3 linked regions of the Rattus norvegicus genome follow. The protein of the gene in region 2 interacts with the protein of the main gene of each other region in a biochemical or structural test. Links are inferred from orthologs where the notes say so. Each region holds a gene or a part of one and is shown on either strand. Other genes may lie near its edges.

What was found.
Region 1: the proteins of Nxf1 (region 2) and Nup153 form a complex in vitro, tested with the Homo sapiens proteins (2 studies listed by BioGRID and IntAct). The link is inferred for Rattus norvegicus from reciprocal best matches to the Homo sapiens genes NXF1 and NUP153.
Region 3: the proteins of Nxf1 (region 2) and Rbm15 form a complex in vitro, tested with the Homo sapiens proteins (2 studies listed by BioGRID). The link is inferred for Rattus norvegicus from reciprocal best matches to the Homo sapiens genes NXF1 and RBM15.

The regions. Positions count from the first base shown.
Region 1 is NC_086035.1:18,175,787-18,182,430, reverse strand, and holds the start of Nup153 (nuclear pore complex protein Nup153), read right to left. Parts: upstream 3,976-6,644; 5' UTR 3,442-3,975; coding exon 3,328-3,441; intron 1-3,327. UniProt on the Homo sapiens protein: Component of the nuclear pore complex (NPC), a complex required for the trafficking across the nuclear envelope. Functions as a scaffolding element in the nuclear phase of the NPC essential for normal nucleocytoplasmic transport of proteins and mRNAs.
Region 2 is NC_086019.1:215,089,571-215,095,566, reverse strand, and holds part of Nxf1 (nuclear RNA export factor 1), read right to left. Parts: intron 5,958-5,996; coding exon 5,804-5,957; intron 5,112-5,803; coding exon 5,028-5,111; intron 4,948-5,027; coding exon 4,843-4,947; intron 4,724-4,842; coding exon 4,643-4,723; intron 4,563-4,642; coding exon 4,493-4,562; intron 4,382-4,492; coding exon 4,293-4,381; intron 4,187-4,292; coding exon 4,079-4,186; intron 3,742-4,078; coding exon 3,632-3,741; intron 1,870-3,631; coding exon 1,833-1,869; intron 1,591-1,832; coding exon 1,522-1,590; intron 1,443-1,521; coding exon 1,387-1,442; intron 1,270-1,386; coding exon 1,162-1,269; intron 1,063-1,161; coding exon 1,004-1,062; intron 910-1,003; coding exon 794-909; intron 670-793; coding exon 627-669; intron 1-626.
Region 3 is NC_086020.1:197,638,723-197,645,424, reverse strand, and holds the start of Rbm15 (RNA-binding protein 15), read left to right. Parts: upstream 1-2,727; 5' UTR 2,728-3,595; coding exon 3,596-6,461; intron 6,462-6,702. UniProt on the Homo sapiens protein: RNA-binding protein that acts as a key regulator of N6-methyladenosine (m6A) methylation of RNAs, thereby regulating different processes, such as hematopoietic cell homeostasis, alternative splicing of mRNAs and X chromosome inactivation mediated by Xist RNA.

The sequences.
Region 1 (6,644 bases), on a different chromosome or scaffold from region 2:
GGTTCTACGATTCCAGTGACTGTGGGCCAATCTAGTCTTTGACCTGACCTTAAAGCTAAAAATGGTTTTAATATTTGCCAATAATCCTTTTTAAAAAAAAACTGCAGCTCGGGGTTGGGGATTTAGCTCAGCAGTAGAGCGCTTGCCTAGCAAGCGCAAGGCCCTGGGTTCGGTCCCCAGCTCCGAAAAAAAAAAGAAAAGAAAAGAAAAGAAAAAAAAAAAAAACTGCAGCTACAGAGCCTCAAAAGAGCTTTGTTTCTTCATAAAAGATTCATCAACCCTTGATGTAAAATATTGATGGAAGAGAACTCCTTCCCTCCCCAGCTTTTAAACAGTTGAGCGCAGTCACTGATTTAAACCAGGATGGTCAGGCTATCAGCCACCCCTGTTTCTGTAAGGATGAAAAGTAGATCCCTTTGCTCCAAGCCAGGGGAGCACCAAAGGAGGGGAGGGACAAAAGCAAATGGGTCTGTCTCACCAGGATGTGGCAACAGATTCTTCCAGAAGTAAGTTTTGCTCAGGAGCTCAAGTGTATGTGGTATCTATTAGGAAAAAAGCAGCCGGGCTGGGGATTTAGCTCAGTGGTAGAGCGCTTACCTAGGAAGCGCAAGGCCCTGGGTTCGGTCCCCAGCTCCGAAAAAAAGAACCAAAAAAAAAAAAAAAAAAAAAAAAAGCAGCCTTGCTACACACAATGGACATAGGAAAGGAGACTAAACAGGAGAAAAGAACTCCCAACTAGAAAATTATGCGTTTTTTAAAAGTATCTGGGTTAAGTAAGCAAGAGATCTAAGCAGGAAGGTCTCAGGTTTAAGGTCAGCCTGAGCCACACAGAAGGACCCTGTCTTAAAAAAAAAAAAAAGCTAAAAAGTACCTGGCTAACGGGGTAGGTGAAAATAACCATCCAGCATCCTCTCTTACTTCTACACTTCTTGAAGACAGCCTACAGTTCAGGCTGGCCTCGGCCTCTTAGCAGCTGTGATCTCAGGTATGCACCTCTATATCCAGCTATCTCTACACTCAACTGTTACTTTTATTTGGTTGATCAAGACAGTATCTTTCTAGTTCGACAACTTCAAACAAGGTAGCTTTTTTTAAAAGAAAACTTAAAAGTAGAAAAATGCTAAAGTTTAGACATTTCCCAGAAGACCTAAACCAGAAGTCAAAACAGGAAATCAGAAGTCAGCTGAACATGAGACAGGAGCCACAGGTACTACTGTGTGACTGCAGTAGCTCTTTGGCCAGACATTTGCTGCCCTGCATCCACCAATAGCACCACTGCTTACTTCTTCTAACCTTCTACTACACAACCAAAGGTTTTATTCTGCTCAGAGATCTGGACACTTATCAAACATCAGTATGAAACATGCCATGTCATGAAGCTCCTCACTATACCCAAGATGACTCAGCAGCTGCTGAAAAAACCAGCTGACGAGCTCTGCTAGTAGAGGACAATGACATCCACTAAGTTCCAGGTAAGACTAGTTACTTTAAGACAGAAACAAACACTGAGCTGTATTCTTTAATATAATCCCGAATACTTTTCTTCGGTTGATTCTGCCAATATTAAATCAGCAAATCAAGAAAGTTATCTTTAATTCCAGGTCAAAGATGTATTTACTTTTTAAATGACTGAGGCAAGAAGCTAACATTACATAAGTTACAGCTTAACTACTGAGCCCTAAAACTATACAACCTGAAATCTGGATCAGCTCTAAAACACATTGGGCTTTAGTTGGCTCAACTTCTCTCTCAAATTAGTTTTTTTATCTAAATACATTTTAAAATAAGTTGTGATCATAACTTTTGTTTCCTTCTAAACTCTATCATAATATCACAATATTGACTTCTTTCTAAACTCTAGCCAAGCCATCCATTTCTCTGCTCAAATTGTTTTCATTTTCCTTTAACAAGCATTCAGGTGATTCGTTACTCTTAGGAGAAAAGTATGTTTGTCTTAATGTCCACTGTACAGTGTCAGGTAAAGTAAAATGGCCAGGCTTGGGAAATCTTCGTCTTAAAAATCTGCTTGGGAATAATACCCCTGGCGCCTCAGCATTCTGCACACATCTAGGGAAAATGGTAATATGCCAAGGCTTCCAACCAAGGACAAATAACTTCTCAGTATATAAACCACAGCTTTTACTATTCAAAATTTTACCTATCTTTACTTTTTAAAATCCCGAAAGTGATATAATTTAACATTACCAAACAAAAACGCTAAGTATTCAATTTTAGCACTAGCCAGGATAAAACAAGAAAAATCTACATTTACGAATACGCAACAAGTTATTTACTAGCCCTTCTTCAATAAGCTTAAAATACACACTTCCTACTTTAGTACACGAGGCCCTGTAAAAGTGGCTTTGTTAAAGTGGATTTTTAACATTTTAATTCTCACAATTTCTAAAAACTCAAATTTTTTTCTGAACCGAATATCTCATTTACAACAGAAATCGACATTTTTATAAACACCCTAAGAAGGCATACGGTGGCTTAACCTATAAGATTACCAACACTCCTAGAGAGTCCAAAATACCTTACACTTCTAGAAAATGCCCAGTATTAAAAAATATTTGGTGTATAAGATAAGAGTTGATCTCTGGTGAACTGTAGAGAATGGCTGATTCTGGTCTTCAGAATACAGAGCGGGGTGGAGAGGAGAGGGAAGAATCGCGCATCAGAGACCAGACGTAAGAGCGGCGAGGGACTTTCAAAACGCCTCAGTGCCACATAACTATAACTCAGTTAAAAGAGGAAAGGACGAGAAGCTAAACCAGTGTGTTCAGATCTGGAAAGGCCAAGCAGGCAGACGAGGGGACTGAACTATCACTATCATTTAAGATTAAATATGGCTAAAACGGAATTAATCCACTATCCGGGTAACAGCGCCCCCTCCCCAAGTCTCTCCCGGCCCCGGTGGCAGATTAACCTCCCCACGCACCCTAAACCCGGGAACATCAGAAAGAAAAAGCCTGCCAGCGGATAGGCCTGTTGCCACATCTTTCCCTTGTTCCCTCGCGAGGTCGTGAGTAATACCATCAAAACCCCAAAACCCGCCAAAAAAGAAGCCGGAGTATCAGAAGCCTGGAATTTCTTTTCCCGCCCTGCGCCCGCCGGGGAAAGCCCCTGGGCGGGAGGGCTGGGAGAGGCCGCTCGCACCCCACGTGTGCGACGCCAGGCCTGGCCAGGCTCTACCCACTTCCCGTCGCCACCCCGGCCCTGTCTCAGGCCCTCTGGTCCCCTCCACGTGGGGCGCCGGGGCCTCGCACCGCCCCCCAGAGCGGCTACCCGGAGCCGCCCAGTCCTGGCGGCGTGCTGGTCCCGTACCTGGTGTTGGGGTCGCCCCTGCTGGTAAGGCTTCACCGGCCCCTGGTGGCAACGACGCGTCCGGATCTTGCCGCCGCCGCCGCCCCCTCCTATGCCTCCGGCTCCTGAGGCCATGGCGGAGCCTGGGCGACCTCCCACTACCGCTCCCGGGCGGGAGAGGCAGAGGCGGCGGCCTGAGGGCCTCCCCCGCCCGGCCCTAGGCGACACACAGACACAGCGAGAACCGCGAGGGAGCGAGCGGGAAATGAGAGTTCGCGCGGCGAGGAAGGCAGTGGCGGCGGCTGAAGGCCGTGAGCTGGCTGAGGACCGCCGGCCGCGTGCGGACCCCCGCGTTTGTGTTTGTCACCGTCTCTATGGAGATCTCCCGCCGAGGCCGGCGCGAGCAGCTCCGGGCACCGCTGAGGCCTAGCTCGACCGCCCGCTGCTGGAGGCTCCTCTTCAGCGGCCCTGGCCGTCGCTGCCGCAGTCCAGGCCGCCGGCGCCGCCCGCCAACCCCTCCCCTGTGCGCGCTGCGCCCGCCCCGCCGCCGCCGCCGCCGCCGCCGCCGTCGTCGTCCCTGCAGTCGTCGTCGCCGCCGCTCTTGCGCCTATTACCGCTGTTGAGGCGGCCGCCGCGGTCGCGAGCCAGAACACCGTCACTCCTCAGCGACCGACGCGTCTGCGTCATCACGCTGCGACGATGTGGGGGGATGGGCAAAGGAAGGAAGGGTTGGCCGAGCCCGCGCTCTCTGTCGCTGGTGCCTCTGGGAAATATAGTTTTTCTGGCAAGAGCGCGGATTCTCGGAAAGGAAGGCTGCGGCGGAAGGACACCCGCGGAGCTCCGCAGAGGCACAAAGCCCCGGTCATTTGGCGGCAGTTGGCGGTTTAGATTCAGAATGGCACTCGACGTGAAAACTGTAATCTCCCATTCATCAATTATAAGCGGAATGGAAGTAAACAGTAAAAATCAAAGAACGATAATTTGTCACAATATGAGAGAAAAAAAAACGCTTTTAAAATTAACAGTGGCCGTGATCCCTAGGCCTAAAACAAGTAGAAAAGGCATTTGGCTTCTGATTGGCATTTGGCACTAGTTAGAGGTTAGCCTCAGCTTCATAGTGAGATACTGTCTCAACAAAAGCAAAAAATACAACTTCGTTACTGTTTCATTAATCATATAAGAGCTTTGTTATCAACGCGCACGGTGTTTGCAGTCTGAGTTCCTTCACTACTTACAGACTTGACCTTGGATGACTACCAGCTAGGAGCTTTAAAATCCACCTTATAAAGTTGTGGGGAGCTAGTGCGGTCAGTCATCTGTGTAGAGCACTAATAGATTTCCTGGTATACAAGAAACGTAGTAAATGATTGCAATTATAACCTATGCAATCAACACACATTAAGGATGACTCATACATTCCTAGTAAACATATTTGCTTCAGTTAGTATTATAGTTTGGAAGGTAATTAAACACTGTACCCTCAAAGGCTGAATAAACGGTGTCAAAGATGCAGGCATTAGACAAAAGGTCTGTGTGGTCATGTGATCCAGCCTAGTCATTTCAATGGACTATATGGAAACCAAGAAACTTTAAGAGGTACCATTAAGGGTATCGGTTTGGCTGGTGACACACGCCTTTGATCCCAGCATTCAGGAGTCAAATGCAGGTTGATCTCTGTGACTTCAAGGCCAGCCCGGCCTACAAAACAAGTTCCAGGACAGCCAGGGCTACACAGAGAACTGTCTTTGGGGGGGAGGGGGGGGATGAAGAGGAAGAGGGTGGATATGGAGTTGGGCATTCAAAGCCAGGAAGGACTATAAGCCAGTTTTTCCATGAAATAAATAAATGATTAAAAAGAATCGCTTATGAAAAAAATCGTCGACTTAATGTTCTATTAGAGAACAGTGTTCTAAAGTGTATAACTATAAAATCAAATAGATTGTTTAAATCTGTCACTTACTAGCTGTGTGGCCTTGGGGAGATTACTGATCTTCTTTCAAAGCTTCTCTTTCCTCATCTGCAAACAGAATGAATATTTACCTCAACGGAAACATGGTTCTGCTTACAATAGCTGTACAGACCGAAAGCGCTCAGTACCAACCAGAAATCAGCTACCGAAAGCAATCTCCATGAACTTTTGCACCAGCCCACCCCCAAAGTGTACAATTCAAATCACTATTGAAATCAAATTAATAAAACTTACAGTACCTTTGAACTTATAGTACCTTTTAGCACATCAAAGCCCCTTCAGTAGCCTCTTGGTACAGTCTGTGTAGAACCTTCATCCCTGAGACAAGTCACCGAAGATGATCAAGGGAATTCATGTCCTCGTCTTCAGTATCCTCCCCTCCCAATCTGCCTACACTCTCCAGGTATGTTCTTGTCCCCCAAAACTACTGAACAAGCAGAACTGTTCATTACAGCTCTCCTTCTCATCCCAGCAGAATCAAGTCTCCAGCATAGGCTAGCATCTGTTTCCTAGAAGGGAGAATCCCCACAGCCAAGCGGTGAGAAGAAGCAACATCAGACCGGACCTTACCTTCGAGACAAGATGGGAGGACTGTGGGTTGCTCAGCAAGAACCTATCTCTCAAAGACAGGAAAGAATGAAGAAATAAAGGAAAGGTTATGTCAAAGAACTTGACCGAAGTCAGACAAAAGTAAAAAAAAAAAAAAAATAGAAAGAAGAGAAAAAGAAAGAAAGAAAAGAAACATAGAATTTGAGGGTTCATGAAAAAAGTCCATATCCCGTTTAGGCTTGATCTCAGTTATTTAATTCATTTCCTGCATATTTATTTAGAGAGGAAAAAAATACAACTCTCATATTTGTGTGGTTGGTTCATTGCAGAAAACTGTGACACCCAAGAAGTCCACGTTATATCTAGACTGGGTTTTAGAGGCAGAACAAACAATATGTCTCAATTCATGGAAAAACGATTACTGCCCTGGTCTCTCTGCCAATAGAGACCCAGCTAACATTTGTTCTATTCTCCCATTTAACATGGTAACCATTCATCAATTACAAATCAGCAAACAAGCGAAGAATAGCCACTAATTACACGTGAAATACAGTTTCCTCTAACCCCAACCTGGACTGAAAATTAGTCTTTGTTTATTTTTCAAAAAGTAAAAAAGCTCCAGTCAATAGAATATTCAGAGATGGCAAGTACAGGAAATTTTGACGTTTTATGTATTTATTTTACCCTCTAAACAGAAAAATAAGGTCTGGACTATAATGTCTATTCAAGAAAATTATTTCCATTTCAGATTATTATGACATCACTGTGAGGTTCTGCACCCATTTTCATGTAATAATTACTACTATGAACCTCATTAAAT
Region 2 (5,996 bases):
ATAAGGAAACAGAGGTGGGATAAAGGGACAGATCAGATAATAACAGAATTTGCTGTGTGCTATAGGAAGTAAAACAATTTAAAAGTGTTAGCCTAGCTTGGCAAAGTGCCTGAAATCATTCCTGAAGTACCACTGTGCAAAAGTATTATGAAATCATCTAACAAAACAGAAAAAAGAACAAGATTCAAAGGTATTGCAACTTTCCCAGACCCACAGCATTAACACAGGGACAGAAATGGAGACCTGGGCTGGGGAGATGGCTCAGCAGTTAAGAGCACTGACTACTCTTCCAGAGGTTCTGAGTTCAATTCCCAGCAACCACATGGTGGCTATCGACTATAATGGGATCTGATGCCCTCTGAAGACAGCTACAGTGTACTCATATACATAAAATAAATAATTCTTTAAAAAAAAAAAAAAAGAAATGGAGACCTGCCTGACTCTTACGCTTACACTGTTTGGGTCCCCAGGTTTTTGTCATACTGCAGGTAAGACAGGTGGAAGAGTTTTAAGGCCAAACCAAGATGTACTGGGCAAAATAGGACAGAGGTCGGAGAAGAAAAGGGATGAGAAGTCAGCTAGGAAACTAAAGATACTGAGAAAGGTTCAGAACTCAAAATTCTTACCTTCCTTGAAGACTCCATTGACAGAAAAACACAACAATGTGCTCTGAAAGAGAAAAAGCACCCGAAGTAATGGAGGTTCCCAACCCGGAGCCTGAGCCTCCTTACCCAGTGAATGCTGAACTCATGACCCCACTTCTGAGCTTCATTAGGAAAACATATGTACTTACTGTTTGGGCACTTATATCTACCACAAAGGAGTTAACGTCATGGTGAGTTTTAGGTAACTCATTGAGGAAGGCAACGACATTAAGACGTGTATGCTTTAATAGCCGGAACCGCGTGGCTACAAGCAGAAGGAAGGGAAACCACGGTTAGGGCACATCCACACTGGCTAGCTCTACTGATTCCCATTTTGACTGCACACACAATAAACTTACTGGTATCTTTAATCTTCTTCACATTTCTGCTGTCATTGAAGTATTTGGCTAAGTTGTGTCTGGAAAATAAGAGGGAATGATGGTGGTGGTCAGATCAGTGGCCTGTATCTCCCAAATAATCTTTTGGTTCTGGATAGGTTCTGACATGTGACACTTACCGGACAGGGTTCTGAGGGTTGGAAGGAGTGCTTAGCGAGCAACAGGCGCCATCATGGTAGGCATCCAGAAGACCCTGGCGGTCTCCTGAGTCATAAATTGCATAGTACCTGTAAGGAAAGTTAAAGAGTCTGAATTCTGTGTCTGGAACCAAAAGGACACATATAGCAGTGAGTACGCACAGACCAGCCATTATCCCCAGCACTAAGGGCTCCTGGGAAACTTACTGCTGCAAGAAGTGCAGGACCAGACTCTTTAGGTTCTCTGTTCCAAAATAGCTTCCCTGAAATCAAACAAGATGTTAGGGTCACAGGACCAGTATGTATCCGACACACAGCTCTAATTCTAAGCCCAATTCTGACCTTGCAGGGTGGTAACATAGTAGGGGCTTCGACATCAAAGGCAATTGGAGGGGGTAGCTCATGGCCATCCTGTAAAAAGAAGTGAATGTAACATGAGAAACAGAACAAAGACGGGATTTGTAAGCATACAGAAAAGCTAAAGCATGGAGAGTATACAGGGATCCTATATAAACTTTGTCAACAAGCGTTTCTAGGATGATGATTTCCACTGTTAGCAGATTCTCAAAGAAATCTCCACACCTACATGGATGGTCACAAAATAGAGGCAAGACCTTGGCTGTCCTTGCTACTGAGAACAGTATTAAACTTACCAGGCGTAATAACTTGGGAAATCGTTCGCGAATGGTGCTGTCAAGAACGGGACAGAAGTGAGAGACGCTTCAGAGCCATCATGCCTCCTGGGCTGCTCTAGGAGCAAATACACCAAAAACCCGAGGAACAGCCCATCCCATCCTGTACATCGCCCCCTCCTCCCCAGCTTAAATTAAACTTGGGGACAAGAACACCCATTCCCCTCCTCACCAGGGGCACCCCTTCTGAATTGCCTTGAAGGCTGACTTTGTTGTCTCACTGCCTGATCCCAAGTGCCACAGAAGGACACTCTCAGCCCAGGCTTTAAGCCTAGGGCTGCCTTCCCCACCTTTCCCCCCTTACCTTCCACCTACTCACCTGTGCAGCCCCGGGAGGAGGGAATGGGGTGGGAGCCCAGGGGCTCTGCTGCCTCACCAGGTATCCACCAGTTCTGCCAGGTCTGGCCTTCGCCAAGACCAGAACACACCACAAGTATGGCACGGGATGTTGGGGCAAGGAGATGAACAAGACAGGGCTCAAGAAGAAAGGAGGAAAGAAAAGAGACCAAGGGAAAGAAGAGAAATGGAGAAAGGTAGGGCAAGGACAAAAGAGAGATGGAGAGACAAAGAGGAAGTAAAGCAACAGGGACAGACCTGAAGGCAGAGGCATTCAGAAAAGAATGGTAGAAAGAAAGACCTCCTGATACAGCCCTTTCCTTCAGCTGCCCCTTTCCTGTGGTCCCAAGGTAGAAATGGAGAATAAGTCCTATAATGGTTTGCAGTTGCTGTTGGCCAGGTCTCTGTCTGCTCCATGGGTCCCGGTCTGAGCTGGGCGTGGGAGGTAAAGCAGCCATGGGGTCAGGAGACCTCCCTCAGAAGGGTTCAGGCCTCTGCCGAGTTGGGGGGGTGAGGGTCTGTGCCCCACCTCAGTTGGCCCCCAAGTTTTCTCCTGATGGCCCCTATGCGACTGTGCCTGTCTTAGGTTGTTCCTTCCCTGAGGAATCTTACCCGTCTCTGGCTAACCAGCCATCTCCGGGGCCAAGCAGGGTGACGTGAGGTGTGCGAGTGAGGGAGGAGCCATGCCCCTGACAGGGTCATTTCTCTGTCTCCTTGGTAGCAGATGCCCCTATGGCCTCCACGCCCAGCATTTGCCTTGGGATCCCCTCACCTGCTGGCGGGGTCCCTGGCTTTGGTCACATCTTAGGGAACCCAGGTTTCTTCTCCAGGAAGGGCCCAGTTCACAGCACTAGGCAAGAGAGACCACTAGCATGGTGCCAGCCTGCAAGAGGCACCAACCTCGTCATGGGCAGGAAGGACCAGGCAACAGCCCTGGCTAAGTGTGTCATGAAAACAGAGTCCCTCTTGGTACAACGGCAAGAGGGACCATCGAAGGGCAAAGGAAGGAAGGCCCATCTCAGTAAGAGAGGGCTTTCTCAGTCTGAGTACTCTAGGCTTTTGGCTGAAGACAAACACACAGGTAGGACATATATAAGACACCTCCACATCAGAACAGAAAAGAAGAGGTATCCTTCCTGGAATAACAGGTAGGGAGATTCTAGAAAAGGCTGTGTTCAGGAAGGAAGGAGAAAGGCCAGAGAATCAGAATATAGTAGTCAGGTGAGAAGAAAGGAGAGGAGATCTAGGACAAAGCTAGGAGACATTGACAGGCAGAAAGGAGTACGGGATCCTCCTCCCAAAGGACAGGTGGTTCCAGCTCAGGGCTGCATGTTCTCCTGTAGACGGGTACTGGTCAGGGTGCATTAGCTCAGCCTCCCAGGGGGTGAATGTCCCCAGGAGGGGAGACAGAGGCTACAACTGACCTGATATAGGTGGACTGGTCTAGGAAGGTGTCACACATGGGGTTTCTGTCAAGCCACAGCTCTTCCAGCTTCAGCCCTTTTATCTTGTCTAATTCCCACTCGGACTTCAACTGTGAAGGATGAGGGAAGAAAAGAGGCAGGAAACGGACTTTACTAAGGATAGCAGCTGGATCCCCATGTTTCCAAATACAACCTAAGTTTTCTTTCTTGCTTCCCACCATGGCCAGCCAAACTGTTCTCGCTCTCCACCACCACAGAAATACAGCCAAGGGTCAGTGTGATGGCTCAGTGGGCAGAAGCTCCTGCCTTGTGAGCATCTCACAACCCAAGTTCCAGTCCAAGAACTCACAGTGGGAGGAAGGGAAGAACCAACTCCCATACAGTCTGCCTCCACCCATTCATAACCAGTAACCATTAAACCAAAGTACCACTAGGGATCCGTCTTACTTCGTTTCCAGAGAGATTCAGGATCTTTAAGTTTGGTGCCTTCTGTACAATGCTGGACATGTCATCAAGCTTGTACAGCCTGTTGTTACTCAAGTTCAAAGACAATAGCTGTGAATAGAACAAAGTTTAGATGTGTTACCACAAGGCAAATTTGTCCCTCATCCTATCCTACCCATCTCACTCTGCTTTCTAATGCAAAAAAAAGAAGCTTCACCTCAGGAATGTTCTCTTCAATGATCCTCAGGGCGGCTGCCATACAGCCTCTACGGTTTAGAACAACATCGATGTTCTGGGCCACCAAATCTTTAGCAAGCAGGAAAAAAAAGGAAGTCTGAGAGGGCTTGCTCATACCAGTGTTATAAAGACCAATTGTCCCCCTCTCCATTTAGTCAGGATCATTGCTGTCAGTCATACCTGGGTCTGAGCGGAGGCCCTTGAGGTCAAGTGCTTGCTGGGAGCCATCATATCGTTTGCTCATGATCAGCTAAAGGAAGACAAAGGGTTTAGTGGTCACCGATGGAGATTTAAAGTCTGCTGGACCATTGTCACTTGAGCCAGCCTTACCTTGAGCTGCTCTACTTGTTCAGGCTTCAGTTCATTCTGTACAATATAGGGTGGAGCAGAAGAGTTGATGATGATAGATATCTGAAGAGAAGACAGAAAGGCAAGAGTGTATTTGAGGGAAGCCTAATCACCAGCACTAAGACTTAGTCCCTTTTAGCGCATCAGTGCCAACTGTGCCATGCCAGGCCCTTTGTTCATACCCTTCTGTTTTCTCGATCCTGAATCTTATAGTTGACAGCCTTTAATGCAGAAGCGGTAGTGGCATCTTCCACAAAAAACTGGGCCCGTGTATTTTCATAGTGAAACTGGAAGAAGGAAAACAAAGAATATTAGATTTGTAGTCCACAGGCCCTTCCACAGCCTTTCAGGTCTAACTTTGCCTTACCTCAATGGGGTTGAAGGGGACACTGCACTTGCTCTGAATCATGCTCAGAAGCCACATTTTATCATACTTTTTGCCATAAGGAATCTGAAAGTGAGAGAGAAGGGTACAGATGTAACCAAGCCAGCATATTTCAGTTCTCTTTTTGTATTTTCTGCCAAGATTGAAAATATTCCTAGTGCTTTGTCAGAAAGCATGCCTAACCTGGCATGCATGCGGCTGACAGAGGCAGTTAGCATGCATGAGGTCTCAGCGATAGGAAGCATGCTTACATGCATGAGGCTGGTAGTGCCCTTCTATCCTAAAGTAGCTGGGTTTTTTTTTTCTCCTAAAGAAAGGAACAGGTCTATGGTTTCCACTTGAGATACAAAGATTCCTTAAACTCCTTTCCATATACTTATTACTCCTGGCAAGATGGCTCAAACATGGGCACATATCAAATGTATTAATTCAAAAAGTCCTAAGGTATTATGTATGTATGCCTTACTTGGCTCCCAGAGACTCCACGGTCTCCTAGAGTCACTCTTAGCTTGAGTGTGACTCTACATCCAGATTTCCCCTCCATGTGTCGCCTTGCCTATCCTCCTGAACTCCCTTCCTTAACTCTGTTCTTAGATGTTCTAAGATATTCATTTGAGGAAAGGATAGATTAGTATACTTCACTGTTGAGTGAGTAAACATTAGAGAAAACACATTTGAGGAGCTAGAGGCAGGTGTCAAAACACTCTGACTGAGTCCAGTCCTGTTTTCTGAACCACCTTACTCATCCAAGTACTCACTGTAATCTTGAACCAGTTCTTGGTGGTCCCATCTTGACTGGTGCCAGCACCTCCTCTTTCTTGAGGAGCTCTGTCTCTCCGTACAGTAACATGAATCCGATCTCGATCATGCCAAGTATCTCTCCGACGGTTAGGTCGGCTGGTATAGGGGTTGCTGTTGGGAAGCAGAATTACATTTCCATAAACACTAGGG
Region 3 (6,702 bases), on a different chromosome or scaffold from region 2:
TCCTACAAGGAAATTTTTATTTACAATGTCAAAAAGTCTCTTGCTAATTCCAGAGCCTCCGCCCTGCGCCTAAGAGCAATTTCTGTAATAATTTCAATAAAATGTAAGCATGTATATGCAACACACAATTTTTAAAACGACAATTGGTAGTTTATTATACACATATTTCTCTGATTGATGGCATTTATGCTAACGGTCTTTTAAATATTATTTTTGCAGGCCTGGAGAGGTGGCTCAGGGGTTAAAAGTACTTGCTGCTCTTACAGAGGACACAGTTTGTTTTCCCAGAGGCCTATGTTGGTGACTCACAACCCTGTAATTCCAGCTTCTCTGGGGCTCTATCACCCTCTCTGGCTTCTCTGGGGATTAGAACACTAACATACATGCAGATATTCACATAAATATTTAAAGACAGGGTCTCATTACATAATCCTGGCAGGCCTAGTATTCACTATATAGATAAGGCTGGTCTTTTTTTTTTTACTCAAAGTGCTTATGTACACAACAGCATTTATGCCACTAGAGCAGAGGCTGTGATGACTCCTATTTCCTATTGGGTGGGAGCATACACTTAGTCTTATAGTATGGAGCCAACCGGTGAATTCTGCTCTCTATCGGAATCAGGCGGAATTTAGCATCCTTATCCTTTCTGTTCCTCTCAAGGTGCATTCGGACAGCAACTGCTTTCTTAATCAAATGGTAGAGATCCTCAGGAAGATCATGGGCATGGCCTTTGGACTTAAGGATTCTCAAGATTTTATTTCTAGTCACAAAAGAACTGACCTGTGCCGCACCATGTGAGTCCCTCAGGCTCACACCTATCTGGGAGGGAGTTAGGCCTTTCTTGGCCGACTTGTAAATTTGTTCCTTCACGTCATCAGACATTAACTTCAACCACTTCAGGATGCAGGGCTTAAGTGGATGTAGGGCAGAGCCGACTGGGACAGGCCCTTGCCGGAGCCTACATGATGGCGGAGATCTGGCAGCAAAGAGCAAATCTGGCCTTGAATTCAGCAAGATCTGTCTGCTTCTGCCTTTCACGTGGTAGGATTAAAGGGGTACATCACCAGGCCTGCTAAAATCTTTAAAAGAATATTTTTTTTCCGGTTCTCTCTTGCTCCTCTCTTGCTCTTGCCTTCCTGCCCCCAATCTCTCCTCCCCATTCCCTCCCTCGCCCTGCTCTCCACATGCTCATGGCCAGCCTCAACTTCTCTCTCTCTCTCTCTCTCTCTCTCTCTCTCTCTCTCTCTCTCTCTCTCTCTCTCTCTCTCCTATCCTCTTAACTCCCCTCCCCATGCCCTGAATAAACTCTATACTGTGCTTTAAAAAAAAGAATATTTTTCCACTAAGAATTGAACCTAGAGCTTCACTTAGGTGCCCAAGGTTCCTGAACTGTGTCTCCAGACTTCTTTTGTGTGGGGTTGGTTTTAAGACAGAATCTCACCAACTTATCAAGTTACTCAGGCTAATGAAGAATTTATGATCCTTACCCTCAAGAGTAGCTGGGATATAGGTGCTCCAAAAGCCACACAACAGCAACTTTTAATACAAGTATGTCTATGCTTTATAGTATTTTGGGGTTTATAATTTACCTATCAGGCTTCTTTCAAATCTTTTTGATGTAATCAAGAGATTTTGGACCAAGTATTCACCAATTTCAAGATTATATACTAACAAAACAAATCGGCTGAAATAGGGCTAATCAGGTTGCTGTATCTAGTCTTCAAATAGCTTTTAAATTTAGAATTAAGGGTTTTTTTTGGGGGGGGCATTCTTATCACCTTGTAAAATGTCCTGTTTTAAAACACATTCTCAACTCAGTCTTAAAAGATGGGAATACCAGAATCTTTCTAATGTCTTCAAGGTACATATTTGGGGAGACTGCAAAAAAGCCTATTTCGCGGTTGGGGATTTAGCTCAGTGGTAGAGCGCTTGCCTAGCATGCGCCAGGCCCTGGGTTCGGTCCCCAGCTCCGAAAAAAGAAAAAAAAAAAAAAAAAAAAGCCTATTTCCCCTCACCAGGAGGTAAGCACCAGTGGTATAGACTATCCATCTTTTTTTTTTTTTTTTCTTTTTTTCGGAGCTGGGGACCGAACTCAGGGCCTGGCGCTTGCTAGGCAAGCGCTCTACCACTGAGCTAAATCCCCAACCCCTACCCATCTAATCTTATGATCACCAGTATTACACAAGCTTACGAGACTCCTTACAGATGCATGGGGTCACCGAAGTTGGTGGCGGGGAGACGTTTAGATTTGAATCAGGGTTAAAGGAGTCAAAGGAGGGGGATCTAGGAGGGGACAAGGTGGCCATGTTACTGGATCCTAATATGGATTAATCGGAGTGCTGAGGTCCAAGAAACGAGATAAATGTAGTACCCGCACAGTGAGAAGCGTTACATATTAAAGCTAAGCACAGCTACCTTTCACAAATCTTTTATGAATGCAAATCCTACACATTTTCACAACATAAATCAGGAAGCAAAAAAGGCCTGCAAGTGGTCCTGCAGGTCAGACCAGTCGGTAGGCCCGGAAGCCCGGAGTGTAGGTCACTGCCGGGCCCAAGGCGGCCAGGGCTGCGCTCTGTTTCCTATGTCCGCGGGCGGGCTGTGACTCGGTACCGCCCAGGGCGTCAGCGTGACCCGAGGCTCAGTGAACCCTGAACTCACCGCCCCAGCCAGCCGCACAGACCGGGGCAGGCGCTTTCTCGCGCACGGGGGTGGGGCTTTTTCAGGCTGCTAACTAAGATGGTGTCGGCTGGACTTCCCGGGACAGCTGCCTAAGCGGATCGAGGGCCAGCAGCCGGAAGGACCACCGAGCCCATTGTCCCGCCCAGACAGGACAGTGCGGAGCCCGCAAGTTCCAGACTCGAAGGACCGAAGCACAGGCAAGTACGCCGTAGGACCTAACAAATGTTTAAGAGAACGCCGAAAGCGCGGGGAGGCGGGCCTGACTCACTGTCACCGTCTCGCGACAGCTAAGTGACGTCGCACAGCAAGCGCGTGGTAGAGTCTTTCACCTTCAGACTCCTCAGTTTATGGGCCTACTCCTTTAAGTGAGTGATGGACAGCGCTTTTATCCAATCATTTTCCTCGTCAACATCCAATCAGATTTAAACTTTATTCAGCCGCCGGAGAAGTTGGAAGACTGGGGTTGAAAGAGAGCGAGCGAGTGAGCGAGCGAGCTCTTTGTCTCTCGCGAGATCCGAGAGAGCCAAGTTCTCAGGGAAAAACGCCTGAACTGATGTCCAGACTTCCCAAGTAGTGATTTAAAGGACGTGGCCATAAACCAATGAAAGGGAAGAGAAGGTGGGATCGCTGCTTTCGCCGTGCTAGAAGTACCGTTACAGGGCAGACTTTTTGTCCAATCAACGCTTCTAGGCTTTGGGTCAGGTGACCATGAAGTGCGAGGGGCGGAGCTACAGCCTGGCGCGAGGAACCGTTAAGATAGACAACGAATATAACCAATGAGGTACTGCGATTAGGGCGTTGGGAACCCAATAACAGCGTCGGGGCGGGCGCCTTCCCGGAGCGCGGGGAGATGTAAAGACGGACAAATAGTTTTTCCAATGAGAAAGCTGAAGAGTGAATTAATTGACCAATGAGGTCTGCGGGGCGGGAGCCTTTGCCGCGGCGGAGTCCAAGATGGCGGCGTGCGAGTCCGCTGTGTGAAACGAGCGCGGGGTGGCGGGTTAGTCAGCTCCGCAGAGACGACCTCCGGCGACCCTCAACAATGAAAGGAAAGGAGCGCTCGCCAGTCAAGCCCAAACGCTCCCGTGGCGGTGAGGACTCCAGTTCTCGTGGGGAACGGAGCAAGAAGTTAGGGGGCTCTGGCGGCAGCAATGGGAGCAGCAGCGGGAAGACGGACAGCGGCGGGTCGCGGCGGAGCCTTCATCTGGACAAGTCCAGCAGCCGAGGCGGCAGCCGCGAGTATGATACCGGTGGGGGCAGCTCCAGTAGCCGCTTGCATAGTTACAGCTCCCCAAGCACCAAAAATTCCTCAGGCGGGGGCGAGTCGCGCAGCAGCTCCCGGGGTGGAGGCGGGGAGTCACGTTCCTCTGGGGCCGCCTCCTCAGCGCCTGGCGGCGGGGACGGCGTGGAGTACAAGACCCTGAAGATAAGCGAATTGGGGTCCCAGCTGAGTGACGAAGCGGTGGAGGACGGACTGTTTCACGAGTTCAAACGCTTCGGTGATGTAAGTGTCAAAATCAGTCATCTCTCAGGTTCTGGCAGCGGGGATGAGCGGGTAGCCTTTGTGAACTTCCGGAGGCCAGAGGACGCGAGGGCGGCCAAGCATGCCAGAGGCCGCCTGGTGCTCTATGACCGGCCTCTGAAGATAGAAGCCGTGTATGTGAGCCGGCGCCGCAGCCGCTCCCCGTTAGACAAAGATACTTACGCCCCGTCGTCCAGCGTGGTCGGAAGCTCTGTAGGTAGCCACAGGCACGCCCCTGGAGGAGGTGGAGGTCAGAGATCGCTTTCTCCTGGCGGTGCTGCTTTGGGATACAGAGACTACCGGTTGCAGCAGTTGGCTCTTGGCCGCCTGCCTCCTCCACCCCCGCCACCATTGCCCCGAGAGCTGGAAAGAGAACGAGACTATCCGTTCTATGACAGAGTGCGGCCAGCATATAGTCTTGAGCCGAGGGTGGGAGCTGGAGCAGGTGCTGCTCCATTCCGAGAAGTGGATGAGATATCACCTGAGGATGATCAGCGTGCCAACCGGACACTTTTCTTGGGCAACTTAGATATCACTGTGACAGAAAATGATCTGAGAAGGGCTTTTGATCGTTTTGGAGTCATCACAGAAGTGGACATTAAGAGGCCTTCTCGTGGCCAGACCAGTACTTACGGCTTTCTCAAATTTGAGAACCTAGACATGTCTCACAGGGCCAAAATAGCAATGTCTGGCAAAATTATAATTCGGAATCCAATCAAGATTGGTTATGGGAAAGCCACACCCACTACCCGACTTTGGGTGGGTGGTCTGGGACCTTGGGTGCCTCTTGCTGCCCTGGCACGAGAATTTGATCGATTTGGCACCATTCGAACCATAGACTACCGAAAAGGTGACAGTTGGGCATATATACAGTATGAAAGCTTGGATGCAGCTCATGCTGCCTGGACCCATATGCGTGGATTCCCACTTGGTGGCCCAGATCGTCGCCTTAGGGTAGACTTTGCAGACACAGAACATCGTTACCAGCAGCAGTATCTTCAGCCTCTGCCCTTAACCCATTATGAACTAGTGACAGATACTTTTGGACATCGAGCACCTGACCCTTTGAGGAGTGCTCGGGACCGGACACCACCCTTACTATACAGAGATCGTGATAGGGACCTTTATCCCGATTCTGATTGGGTGCCACCCCCGCCACCGGTTCGGGAACGCAGTGCTCGGGCTGCAACTAGTGCCGTCACTGCTTATGAGCCACTGGATAGCTTGGATCGAAGGAGGGATGGCTGGTCACTGGACAGGGACAGAGGTGACCGGGATTTGCCTAGCAGCAGGGACCAGCCAAGGAAGCGAAGGCTGCCTGAGGAAAGTGGAGGACGGCATCTTGATAGATCACCCGAGAGTGACCGGCCTCGAAAACAGCGTCACTGCACTCCTTCTCCTGACCGAAGTCCAGAACTGAGCAGTAACAGAGATCGTTACAACAGTGACAATGATCGATCATCTCGTCTTCTACTCTTGGAAAGGCCTTCCCCAGTCAGAGATAGACGGGGCAGTTTGGAGAAGAGCCAGAGTGACAAACGAGACCGTAAAAACTCTGCATCAGCTGAACGGGATAGGAAGCACCGGACAGCTGCTCCCACAGAGGGAAAAACCCCTCTGAAAAAGGAAGACCGATCTGATGGCAATACACCCAGTGCCAGCACTTCTTCATCAAAGCAGAAGCCACCTTCCCAGAAACAGGATGGAGGGACAGCTCCTGTGGCAGCATCCTCTCCCAAACTCTGTTTGGCTTGGCAGGGCATGCTTCTACTGAAGAACAGCAACTTCCCTTCCAACATGCATCTATTGCAGGGTGACCTCCAAGTTGCTAGCAGTCTACTTGTGGAGGGTTCCACTGGAGGCAAAGTAGCCCAGCTCAAGATCACTCAGCGGCTCCGTTTGGACCAGCCCAAGTTGGATGAAGTAACTCGACGCATCAAAGTGGCAGGGCCTAATGGTTATGCCATTCTCCTAGCTGTACCTGGAAGTTCTGACAGCCGATCCTCCTCTTCCTCAGCCACATCAGACACTGCCGCCTCTACTCAGAGGCCACTTAGGAACCTTGTGTCCTATTTAAAGCAAAAGCAGGCAGCTGGGGTGATCAGCCTCCCTGTGGGAGGCAATAAAGACAAGGAAAACACCGGGGTTCTTCATGCCTTCCCACCTTGTGAGTTCTCTCAGCAGTTCCTGGATTCCCCTGCCAAGGCACTGGCCAAATCTGAAGAAGATTACCTGGTCATGATCATTGTCCGTGGTGCGTCCTAAAGTCCATGTGTAACTTGTATTTACTACTTTGACATGGTTCCTTGTTTTGTGATGTGTAATGGGATACAGCATCAGATGAAAATTTCTTTCATTTAGTTTAGTTGGTTTTTTTTTATATATATATTTTTGTAAACCTCCTTAAAATAGATAATGGGGCAGTTTAGTTATTAAGTGAAAGGGATGCCCTGAAGGTAGCAGGAAGATAGATTTGCTTTAATTAGGAGTTCTTA